Caenorhabditis elegans: one gene and its partner. The protein of the gene in region 2 interacts with the protein of the main gene of each other region in a pairwise test. Each region holds a gene or a part of one and is shown on either strand. Other genes may lie near its edges.

Region 1 (7,804 bases), 8.3 Mb from region 2:
GAATTGCGTCAAGGCACTAGAATTGCGTCATGGCACTAGAATTGCGCCAAAGCATTTGATTTGCGTCAAGGCACTAAAAATGCGCCAAGGAAATAGAATAGCGTCAAGGCACTAGAGTTGCGTCAAGGCACTAGAATTGCGCCAAGGCACTAGAATTTCGCCAAGGCACTTAAAGTGCGCCAGGAAAAATCATTATTCAAGTTTTCGAGTAATTCGACTACGAGAATTTCAAATTTTCCATTTATTTTGTGGTGCTGAGCACAAGAAAATATTCACCAAAAAATTATTTATACATTTCCAATATCCAAATACACAATTTTCACAGAAAATCAGAGAAATTTCAGAAGCATTTAGCCGTCTCCACACAGAGCCCAGTAGTACTCCTCGAGAACCCATCCAAGCATCCACAGCCACTCCAGCAAGCCTTGCAGCTCGGATTTGCAGTTTGGAAGCACACTTTTTCGCAGTTATGACACTTGGACCACGCCTCGTTGTCACTGCATTTGGTTGCTGGAAATATTGATTTTTCTGGAAATTCTGAGCTCCGACTTACTCCCAAAACATTGCCTGGAATGGACACACTGGCCACTGTCAGAATCTCGCTTGTAAGCTGGCCGGCAAGTGCACCCGGGTAGGCATTTTGCCGGGGCTTTTGTGGTAGCGGTTCCGTTTTTGGCTTCGATACAGAACTGAAATTTTCAAATTTTTAGAAATTAAATTGACTTTCATTGATTTTTCTGGAAATTTATCGATTTTTCTGAAAATTAATCGATTTTTCTGAAAATTTATTGATTTTTCTAAAAATTTATTGATTTTTCTGAAATTTTTTGATGTTTCTGAAAATTTATTGATTTTTCTAAAAATTTATTGATTTTTCTGAAATTTTTTGATTTTTCTGAAAATTTATTGATTTTTCTAAAAATTTATTGATTTTTCTGAAATTTTTTGATTTTTCTGAAAATTTATTGATTTTTTTCACTAATTTAAATTTTAATTTTTCCAAATTCAGAATGCGATTTCTTTCCACATATTAAACGGGTGCTCGATGTTGTTCAATGCTTTGATGTAAAAAATGAAAAATTCACCAAAAAAAGAAAAAAAAATGAAAAAAAAATGAAAAAAAATGAAAAAAAAATGAAAAAAGAATGAAAAAAAATGAAAAAAAAGAGAAAAAAAGAAAAAAGAAAGAAAAAGGAAAAAAAAGGAAAAAAAAGAAAAAAGAAAGAAAAAAAATTTTTTTAAAGAAAAAAGAAAGAAAAAACAATTTTTTTAAAAGAAAAAAGAAAGAAAAAAAATGATAAATTTCTTTTGTTTTTTTCATTTTTTTACATTTTTTTTCATTATTTTTCCATACTTTTTTTATTTTTTTTCACTTTTCGTTATAAATATTCTCTTAGACGTAAAAATTTGTGAAAATTTCGAATTTTTCTGTCTCAAAGCCCAATTTTACGCAAAAAATGAAAAAAAAAAGAACAACAAGGGGAAAAAACGAAAAAAGTGAAAAAAAATGACATATGCTCACCTGATTCGGCACCCCTGAGCACGTTTTCTCACACTCTGGCATACACGCCGTGTAGACTTCAGCGCCAGCACACGAAACACCTTCCGTTACAGTAACCGGGCACTTTGACATGAGCTCACAGACCCCATTGATCCTCACATAACCACGTATGCAGGCACATCCTGACGTGCAGGTGGTCGAGTTCATGCACGGCGGGGACGGTTCTTCACAGGTACCCTCACAGCCCGACTTGCACGCCGAGAACTCCTCGTTGGCGCCCACGCATTTTGGGGCTTCTGGAATGGGTTTTGGGTTTTTTGAGGGGGTGGGGTGTGGGGGGGGGGGGGAACTCACGCTTAAGCTGTATGCATTGGGCAGGTTTTCCCATAGTTTGGAAGCAAATGTCTCCGGGTGAGCACTTGATGCCAAGGCATTCACCGGCGGTGCCGTCTGATAAAATTTTCGATGAACTTTGATTAGTTAGGATTTTTCGATATTTTTCGGTGAAAATCGAATAATCGAAAAATCGAAAAATTTTTGATTTTTCGATTCTCTGGAAAATCGAAAAATAGAAAAAATTGTTCAAAAAGTTTACTATAAAATATGAGTTTTTATCGAATTTTGTTTATATTGATAAGAAAAAAACATCTAAATTTCCTCTAAAAAGAAGAATAACGGCGAAAATATTAAGCTAATTTTTGAAAAATCGAAAATTTTTTCGAAGAATTCGAAAATCGAAAAATCGAAAATTTTTCGTTTTTCGATTTTCTAAAAAAATCGAAAAATCGACACCCTTGGGGTTTCGGGGTAATTTCGGGTGGAGAATTCGAATTTTCACTCAATTTTTCAAAAATTTTTGTTTGAAGAACTGAAAAAAAAAACTTTCCCATTGTGACTTGGCCCAAACATCAAATTTTCGCAAAATTAATGTTAAATTCGAATTCCCCATGGTAAATTACCCCGAAACCGCAGTTTTCAGAATTTTAGCGCAAAATTCCGTCAAATTTGGTGCCGGGTTCGCAAACACCATGCTACAGTAACCCAAAACACCGGATTTGACGACATTTTGTACTAGAGCTCTGAAAATCGGGGCTCAGGGGTAATTTTTGGTGGGGAATCCGAATTTCGACTTGAAAATCTAAAATTTTGGGGATTTTGTCTAAATGCACTTAAAATGATCAAAAACGACCGAATATCATAATAAAACACTCTAAAAAATTTTCGATTTTTCATAATTTCCGGTCAAAGTTTTGGCAAATGGCCAAAATTTTGAAAAAAACGAGCATTTGAGAAAATTTAAAGAAATATCACATGTCTCGACCATGAGTGGCAAAAACTGAGTAATTGCCACTTTTTGACAAAAAAAAATTTTCTAAATTTTATATGATTTTTTGAAAAATGAAAAAATCTCGAATTGCATCAAATTCCCATTTGAATTACGCGCCAATAGTTTGATGTTCGATGGAGCGCGCTTGCATCATTTTTAAATATTTATTCATCAATTTTTCACATTTTTGACTGATTTTTTCGTGTTTTTTCGCGTAATTTCACTGAAATTCAGTGAAAAATTTAAGATAAATGCAAATTCTTTATTAAAAAGTGGAGATGAAGGCTCAATGTCATTGGAAAACGTTCTTTCTCTGTTTTTCACTGATTTTTAGTGAACAATTTGCATTTATCTCACATTTTTCACTGTGTTTCAGTAAAATTATGCAAAAAAACATGAAAAATCAATCAAAAATGTGAAAAATTGAAAAATAAAAATTAAACAATGACAAGCGCGCTCCATCGAACTTTTCAGAAAATTTTAAAATTTTAAACCTATTAAAATAAGCGCGCCAAAAGCTTCAAAATTAATATATAATCATGACTAGGTTCTGAAAACTTGGATTTTTCCAAAATTTTGGGTCTCGCCGCGAAAATGAAACAAGCTACCATAACTTGCACAGTTTTGCTGCGAATTTCAAAATTTTTAAATTATGAAAATGAGCGCGTCAAGAGCTTCAAAATAAGTATACTGATGACTAGGTTCTAGAAATTTTGGAATTTCCAAAATTTTGGGTCCCACCACGAAAACGGAAAAGTTACTGTAACTCGCACAGTTTTGATGCGAATTTAAAAATTTTTAAATTATGAAAATAAGCGCGTCGAGAGCTTTAAAATAACTTTAAAATAAATACTCATGACTAGGTTCTAGGAATTTTTGAATTTTCAAAATTTTTCGTCCCACCACGATAACCTAAAACTGGCGCAAATTTTAAAAATTTTCAAATACTCAGATTTAGTTGACTTCAAGCAACTCAAAAACTATTGGCGCGTAATACAAATGGGAATTTGATGCAATTCGAGATTTTTTCAATTTTCAAAAAACCATATAAAATTTTGAAATTTTTTTGAAATTTTCTTACTATGATTTTCGGTCGTTGTAGTACCATAGGCATGTTTTAAAGCAATTTTCCCCACTGGCCCTACCCTCCAGCACTCCTACAGTACCCCTTACCCAGTTTGGTATAACAAGTGTAGGCGTTGCTAGTGACGTTATCAAAGCACTTCATGCCCACTTGACACGGCTCATCAATACAGTAACGGCGATCCGGGAGCCGTGGGATGCAGGTCTGTGTCGAGTTTAGTGGCGACGCGCAGACCTGCGTAGAGGTACATGTAGCGGATCCGCAGGCTGGAAAAAGAGAAGCTTGAAGCCTAAAATATAATCGTCCAAGCCTTACCAGTACTGGGGGCCGCAGGTGGCTTGGTTGTAGTGCCCATTGATGGCGGATTGGTGATCGGAAGCAATGTGGGGAGCCCGGTGAGATTCACTGGAGCCATCGTCGGGAGTCCTAGGATGGTTAGGTTCATTGGGGACATGGTAGGCAGTGCGGGTAGGCTTAGGTTCAGTGGAGCAAAAGTTGGCATGGTGCCAAGTCCCAGGTGGCTCAGGTTCAACGGGGCCATTGTAGGAAGGCTGGGGAGCTCGGGGAGACTGAGATTCAGTGGAGCAAAAGTTGGCATCGTGCCAAGACCTAAATGGCTCAGGTTTAGTGGAGCCATCGTAGGAAGCCCTGGGAAGCTCAGGTTCAGTGGTGCAAAAGTTGGCATGGTGCCAAGTCCCAGGTGGCTTAGATTGAACGGAGCAAGGGTAGGTAGCGTGAAGTTGGATAGATCGCCTAGCACCAGGGGAGCAAATGTTGGCATGGTTGGAAGTGTGAAATTCATGAAATTTGGCAGACTCAGATTCAGCGGAGCCATTGTTGGAAGCCCCGGGAAACTAAGGTTCAGTGGGGCAAAAGTTGGAAGGGTAAAGTTCCCGAAGCCTGGCAGCGTGCCAAGTGTAGGTAGGGTGAAATTTCCAAGGCCAGGAATTGGACCAAATGTGGGTGGTGGTACTGGCGCCATTGGGTTCAGCGTTGGTACGGTGAAGTTCGGAAATACCAGCGGTGGGAACAGTGTTGGAAGGGTCTCATTTCCATATGGGGATACTGTTGGGGCGGGGGGTGTTGTTGGTAGGGGGTCTGAAATTAGAATTTTTGAATTCAGCAGAGCGAGAGCTTTCGAATAAGTATAATCATGACTAGGTTCTAGAAATTTTGGAATTTTCAAAATTTTGGGTCTCGCCACGAAAATGTAAAAAGCTGCCGTAACTTGCACAGTTTTGGGGCGAATTTTAAAATTTTAAAACTATTAAAATTAGCGCGCCAAAAGCTTCAAAATGAGTATAATCATGACTAGGTTCTGAAAACTTGGATTTTTCCAAAATTTTGGGTCTCGCCGCAAAAATGAAACAAGCTACCATAACTTGCACAGTTTTGCTGCGAATTTCAAAATTTTTAAATTATGAAAATGAGCGCGTCAAGAGCTTCAAAATAAGTATACTGATGAAACAAGCTACCATAACTCGCACAGTTTTGATGCGAATTTAAAAATTTAAAAATTATTAAAATAAGCGCGCCAAGAGCTTTAAAATGAGAATAATCATGACTAGGTTCTCGAAATTTTGGAATTTTCAAAATTTTGGGTCTCACCACGAAAACTTGAAGGGGGCCGCAACTCGCACAGTTTTGCTGCGAATTCCAAAATTTTTAAATTATGAAAATGAGCGCGTCGAGAGCTTTAAAATAAGTATACTCATGACTAGGTTCTAGGAATTTTTGAATTTTCAAAATTTTTGGTCCCACCACGATAACCTGGTGCAAATTTTAAAAATGTTCAAATACTCAGATTTAGTTCACTTCAAGCAACTTGAAAAAAAAAGTATGATTATGACTAGAATCTAACGAATTGGAAATTTGGGTCCCGCCACGACTTTATAGGGACGTAGAGGCCAACATTTTCAAAATAATCGGAATATAGTCATGATTATACGTGTTTGAAAACTAATAATGAGCTGAATTCAAATTTTCACAAATTTAAGTTTAAAAATCATAAATTTTCAAGAAAGGTCAACAAAAAAACCCACCACTTCCCGTCGATTTTTCTGGAAAACCGATCAAAATAGCGCATAAATACAGTAACCCTAGCAATGATGTTTTTGTGAACATATTACCAATGTCAAATGACATCAAAATATGTTATTTTATAGTAATTCGAGGTTTAGACCAACAGTTAAGCCGATAGGGAGAGAGGTTTGGTGGTCGTAAATTGGAAAAACAAACGGCGATGGGGGGATTTCAGAGATTTTCATCGTGATTTGTACTTTTCTGAGGGTGTAGTTTGACGAAATTGTTGAAAATTTTGAAATTCCACATTTTAGGGGAGTTTCAGAAAAAAAAAAAAAAAATTTTTTCAAAATTCTCAAAAAAAAAATTTTTTTCAAAATTTTTTTCTGCTATTTTTATTCAAATTATATTTATAAGCAGTTATCTGATTATTTTTCCAGTCATAAGATTTCATTTTTGCCCACTTTGCACCTCAATTTTTGATTTTTTTTTTCTTTTTTATGTTTGTAAATATTTGCTGTGTATTTAGTTTTTGATTGATTTTTCTTGTTTGCTTGGTAATTAGAACTGTTTTTTTTTACTTCCTGATGTCTATTTCTGTAACTTCGGTGCAAGTTTACCTGAGGAACTAGATTTTAGCCGGCTTTTCAAGCCTGAGGGGGGGGGGGGGGGGGGAATCGACAACACCCACCAAATGCTCGACTTCTAAAAAGTGGCAAATTTTTGTAGTTAAAAACTGGTTGGCTTATGAAAACTTACGATTTTTGTGTGGATTTGCATGAATAAGCATTCTTTGAAAATTTGAGAAAAAAATATCAGAAAATTCAAAAAATTTTTTGAAAATCGCAGAATTTTTTTTTTCAAAAATCTCAAAAAAAAATTGATTTCCAAAAATTTTAGTTTTACTACATTTTATGTTGTTTAACTATATACATTCTTGTTGTAACATCAACTTTGTCTTTTTATACCTAAAAGGGCCACAATTTCCAAATACACCAGCCTAAAAGAAAGCGACAACACCGATTGCTCGAGTGCCAAATTTAGTCAGTGTACTACTAATTTGTCAAGAAAATTAATCTTAATTTTAGTGTGAACTAAAACTAATATAAATATTTCAAAATTTGAGAATAAAAATTCAGAAAATTGGAAAAAAACGTTTTATTTCTCAAAAAAAAAATTTTTTTTTCAAAATTATCCAAAAAAAAAAATTTATTCATTAAATTTTGCAAATCATAATTTATCATTGCCTCGCTATAATTAAAAGTGCTGTATTCTGAAGAATCCAGGTCAATGGAAATTGATAACACCAATTGCTCACTGTCTAAAAAGAGCCGAATTTTGGCCGTTAACTACTGATTTGTCGAGAAAATTGTACATAATCTCTATGTCATAATGTGTTACATAATGTCAAACTAATAGAAATAGTTCAAAACTTGAAAAAAAAATTCCAAAAACTCAAAAAAAAAATTTTTTTTGAAATTGCAAGAAAAAAATTTCAAAAATCTTTAAAAAAAAATTGTATTTCCAAATTTTCTGTTTTACTATACTATACTTTTTTTTAAAACTTTATATGACTGTTATATCATTTTCTGTCCGTTTCTAGCTGAAAAGGTCACACATAATTCCCAACTAAACCAGCCTATGTAAAAGAAAGCGACAACACAAATTGCTCGTTCTCAAAAAACTGCTCAATTTTTAGAGATAACTACCAGTATGTTAAGAACATTGTACTTAACTTTTGTGTAAATTCAAACTATTACAAAAATACTGAAATTTGAAAAAAATAACAGTTTTTCAAAAAAATATTTTTTTTCGAAAAGTTAACAAAACATTTTTTTTCAAAATGTTCAAAAAAAATATTTTGCAATAT
Region 2 (4,703 bases):
TTTTTGCTGAAAAGGCATTCCGTTCCACTCTTTCTCCTCTATCTCTGAAATTCCTCTTCTAATATTTTTACACCCTCACTAATAACAAAACACCTCTCCTTCTTTACCATACATTCATCTCATTTTCTATCTTTTATCACACCGTTCCTTACCGGTTTCTTATTTGAGGCAGCATGTATTTCAATGAGACCTCCATGAGACGTTTTTTTACCTTTTCCCGTCTAGACCCGCATAATCTAAATGGTTTCAATGTTTCCTTTTCCATCTCTCATCGACTCGTTTTTTGTCTATTTTCTTGTCCTCGTTCACTCAAGTTGATAAGAGCATTTTGAACACATAAAAAATTTACTATGGCCTAAACCAGGCGATTTTTATTGAGTTTTCATAAGAATCGTTTTTTGTGGAACATTGTGTACTTTTTTAAAGTTAAAGAAGTATTATTTCAAATTTAATACGATTTGAATGCTCTTCGATCATTCGGCTGATTGGCATGTCTTCCTAATTAATTGGAAACTTCTCAATAGAATACCACAAAATATAGCACTACCCTTATTGATATACTTTAAGAAACTATTTCTAGGTTTTCTTCGGCTTAAAAATGTAGCACATAAATTTGGTGCCAATTACTTTTTGATATTTTAGTATTGACAAAATTTGTGATAATACCAAGGATAACCAAATATGAGCTGCCAAGATAGAGCATTAAATGTACAAGGCTAATAGGGAAAGTACCGTAATCTTTTTGTAAGGTTGACACGCTTAGCGACCAGTTTTCTGTGTGTTTTTCAGGGTTTCATTTTCTCCAGATTTCAAATATTCCAGGTTTCCTGCTCCTCAATATTCTTTTTTTCTGCATTTCAAACGGTAAATTCTTTAGTGAACGTTGAAGATAATTCCGGAATCATTTGAAAGTTGAATTCTTCAAATGAACATTTTGCACGAGACGTAATAGTTTTATCAGTAATAAAATCACTTGTTATTTTTGAAAACTAGATAACTTCTCTTCTCTTGAAAAACTGTGGAATAAAACAAATAGTTAAGTAAAAACTGTTCTTTTGAGTAGGTAGCATAGGAACATCCACCTATTTTTTTTTGTTTGATCTGGTTCTAGTTTCTAAAGTAAACATGAATAAACTTAGAATCTTTGATGAAAGTCATTATCAATGTTATAACACGGAACTAGGTCTCCTTTGTCAAATGAACTGAGTGTTTCTTCTTAATTATGTTGTTGTTTCTTTCTATTGAATTGCAAAACAAAGTGTTCTAATCCATCGGGCGCCAGTTCGGTATACTACGAGCTTCTGCTACCATCTTTCTGTCTCCGCGCACCTTCATCATTTTGTCTTTCGCCCAATGTCAACAGACCTTTTTTCGTCTCCCTGCTTGCTCGCTTGTGTTCTTTCTCTTTGACAGTGCAGCTTCTTCACCGATCGACTCGGATCACTTTCGTTGTCTATAACCTCTCTGATTCTTGTGCTTTACCGTCGTGAAGATCCCGCGCAGTTCGATTTTCAAAGGCGGGGCCTGCACAGACACAGTTCATTTCAAATTGGGACACTACGAGACGGTCTCTCTGTTTCTCGTTTTACTTACTTTTTCATTTGAATTGAAATCTTAGTTACATGGTCCCAAAAAAATCGACAAAAAATTTATATACATGACTACAATTTTCATATTTTTCTTTGCAGAGCTTGTGGGCCGTTCATCACGCGGCTTCTCCGCTGAACGGCAAAAACGGTTATGCAGAATTGTTGAAATGCAGTGGTCAAGTAGTATTATTTTACTCTTCACATTTCTTATCATTTCCAATGCAAAAAACCAAAAGACCACATTGTGCGGGACATGTGACAAGGATTCATGTCCAGATGTTTCAGGATGCGAGCAATTGAAAAAGGATCAGTGCGATTGCTGCGAAGTGAGTAATTTAAAATTTTGATAGAAAACGAACTATGGTTTAACAATTCTTTAAAACTTATTTTTAAAATTAATTTTAATATTCTAGTTCCTCAGTTTTAATTTTCTTTTTAAAATTCCAGAACATTGAATGTGAGCTTTTGAAATAATTTTCCACAATTTCTCATGACTAAAATTCTAACTATTATCATAAATCCCCAATAACTTAATTATTATTGGACAATGATCAAATGAACAAATGAAAGGATCAAATGCTCAGTGAAACAACTGAATAAAGATGAGCTTTAATGTATTATGCTACACAGTCAAATCAGTACCAAAACGAAGAACCGTTTGATAGAAACGCATAATTCAGATACCGTGTATCCTCTTAGAGCTCTTATTCCTCTTATTCCTATAATGAAATTGCACATAGATAGGTTCCCGATAATTAGTACTTTTTTTACTAATAGAGGAAACACGGTACATTAAAAATAATCCTAATTGCTTTGAAAGTGGTTCAACTTTCTAAGTTTCAAATGATAATAACTGTCCCTTAAATCTTACTTTCGGTTTTTAAACCGCGGTTTTAGTTATAATTTTGTTTCTACAAAAAGAAATACACTGAATAAACTTAAACATAAGTCAAAAGTCTATAAAAAAGTATGTGCGGTCTTTTTTAACGGCTTTCAAACAATAAACAAAAAGTTATACTTGCAGGTCTGCATTCGACAAATCGGTGAAACTTGCGACGGGCCTGGTCTTGTTTGTGATTCGCATCTTTCATGTCATCAGGAAAACGATCTTGATGGTTCAAGTCGATGTAAAGGTATATTTTCTTCAATATTTCAAAGTCCCTTTGCATGTTTCATTCGATTTGAAAGAACTTTGGTTGTTTTTTCGAGGTCCAGAATGCTTCCTAATTAAAAAGAAAAGGGTGCTCTAGAGTTACTATTGGGCTTATTTTATTGCTGAAATTTGATAGGGTTTCTTCTCAGTCTCTCTATCTCTCTCTCTCTTTCATTTTCTCTTCCTATAAAAAATGACTTCTCAAAATGGTGGCGGTTCTCTTGTGCTGAGGCTTCTCGTGTGTGCTCGCCGGACGACGCAATCCACCCTGCTCTCCCGAATATACAATTTCTATTTACTTTACTTCACTCTGCCCGCAGTTTTTTAACCAAAAAGTCCTCTATGTTGTGTCCGCAGATAGGGCGGCTTGCAAAGGTAGAAAATGGGTTGGACTAACTTGAGAATTGAAACGATCTTGTTGTGGATAAAAAATCGGACAATGTAGGCAATGGGGATATCAAGTAATTGAAATATTGCAAGGATTCTGAGCATACCAAAACTTGAATGTTGTTAAAAAATACTTAGATTGTTCAAAAATAAATTGTTTTTATCAATTTCTTTCAAGATCTAGAAAAGGAGTGAGCTAGAAAATTCTTGATTGCGGCATGTTGTTCCAATGTTTGGTAATTGGAAGATTTTAAGCCATCATTAAGCACCTCCCAACTCCTTTAACTCAAAATGAAAAGTTTATAGATTATTAAAACATTTTCTACATTTTTACTGAAATATAATGGAACAACGAGCCACGATCGGCCTTGTTGTAGAATTTCCGTCTCAACCTGATCTCGAATTATTTTATGCTCAAGCACATTTGGTTTTGTCTGGATTTTCAGTTCAAAAATGTACTCCTTCCTGTATTTGTCTATTCCGTGTTGTTTCGTTCAAGATGCCATCAAACTTTAATTCAATTTTCGAATTATGATTGCATAGGAAACAGAAAATTTCAAAAAAAAAAAACGGAACGAATGACTAACCAATTGCGCGACACCGAAAAAGAACAGAGTTTCGAGAAGTGTCTAACCTCTGTCTCCCTCAATTGACTCCGCCTACTTTGTCTTCAAGTGTTGCATAGAGTTGGCCATATGCGGGACGACGTAAATCATTTCGATAATTTTTTTACGGAAAGAAGAGCTTGGTGTCTTGGAGATTAGTAATGGTTAAGCTTCTTTTCATGAAATTTTTTTTTCTATTTTTGTCATCGGCAAATCTTTCTGCTTCTCATTTGAATTTGAAAATGTCTTAGTATATATCAAAAATTATGTGTACATACTTTGAAATTTCAAAATGGCTATTCCCGACATTTCTGTGCTTAAATAACAAGGAAAAATCAGAAAAATTTGATATACAAAAATTATTTTCAACAAATAAAAATAAACTTGTTTGAAACTTCAAAATAAAAATGCCTTTCATTATTTTCTATATTAACTGCAATGAATTTGGTTTCACTATGTAATATCTGTTGTTTCAATTTAGACAAACCGAATCCATTGCTTATAATGTATAAATTGTACTTTGTTTTTCTGCATATTGTAACTTGCCACTTCCATAAAACGCCTTTCATCGTAATGTGTACCAGTTGATTTTTGCTTTGAAATGCATAAAAATGGTTCATATGCCTTGACCAACTTGAAATTGACCCTGTCATCTGCAACTTTTTTGTTCTTCAGTCATCACCAAGTATCTTCTCGGTGTCCACCTGATCAGATGTTCTCATGTTTTCAAATCCTTCTTTCTTTTTTCCATGTGATTTTTGTGTATTTTTGTGCTCTAATCCTCTTTCTCCTACTCACTATATTTACAGCTCGAGAATGCAACTAGTCGTCTGCGTCTTTCTACTTCTCTTCTCATTTGTCAATTTTCTCCGAACGGAGCAATCAGGTGTGCTAGAAGGCATTCTCTTCTTGAACAGATATTGTCAAAAAGAAATTAATAGAGTCAAAATAAGTGACAAAGGGGGTGAT

The links.
Region 1: the proteins of crim-1 (region 2) and Y69H2.10 interact in a two-hybrid assay, tested with the Caenorhabditis elegans proteins (2 studies listed by BioGRID).

Annotation. Positions count from the first base shown.
Region 1 is NC_003283.11:18,668,556-18,676,359, reverse strand, and holds Y69H2.10 (TIL domain-containing protein), read right to left. Parts: upstream 6,037-7,804; coding exon 5,955-6,036; intron 5,088-5,954; exon of another isoform or gene 5,021-5,087; intron 5,011-5,020; coding exon 4,228-5,010; intron 4,179-4,227; coding exon 4,002-4,178; intron 1,952-4,001; coding exon 1,856-1,951; intron 1,798-1,855; coding exon 1,523-1,797; intron 690-1,522; coding exon 554-689; intron 511-553; coding exon 341-510; 3' UTR 241-340; downstream 1-240.
Region 2 is NC_003283.11:10,329,098-10,333,800, reverse strand, and holds the start of crim-1 (Cysteine-rich motor neuron 1 protein-like), read left to right. Parts: upstream 1-1,688; 5' UTR 1,689-1,756; coding exon 1,757-1,915; intron 1,916-2,613; coding exon 2,614-2,722; intron 2,723-2,964; exon of another isoform or gene 2,965-3,104; intron 3,105-4,547; exon of another isoform or gene 4,548-4,550; coding exon of another isoform or gene 4,551-4,620; intron 4,621-4,703.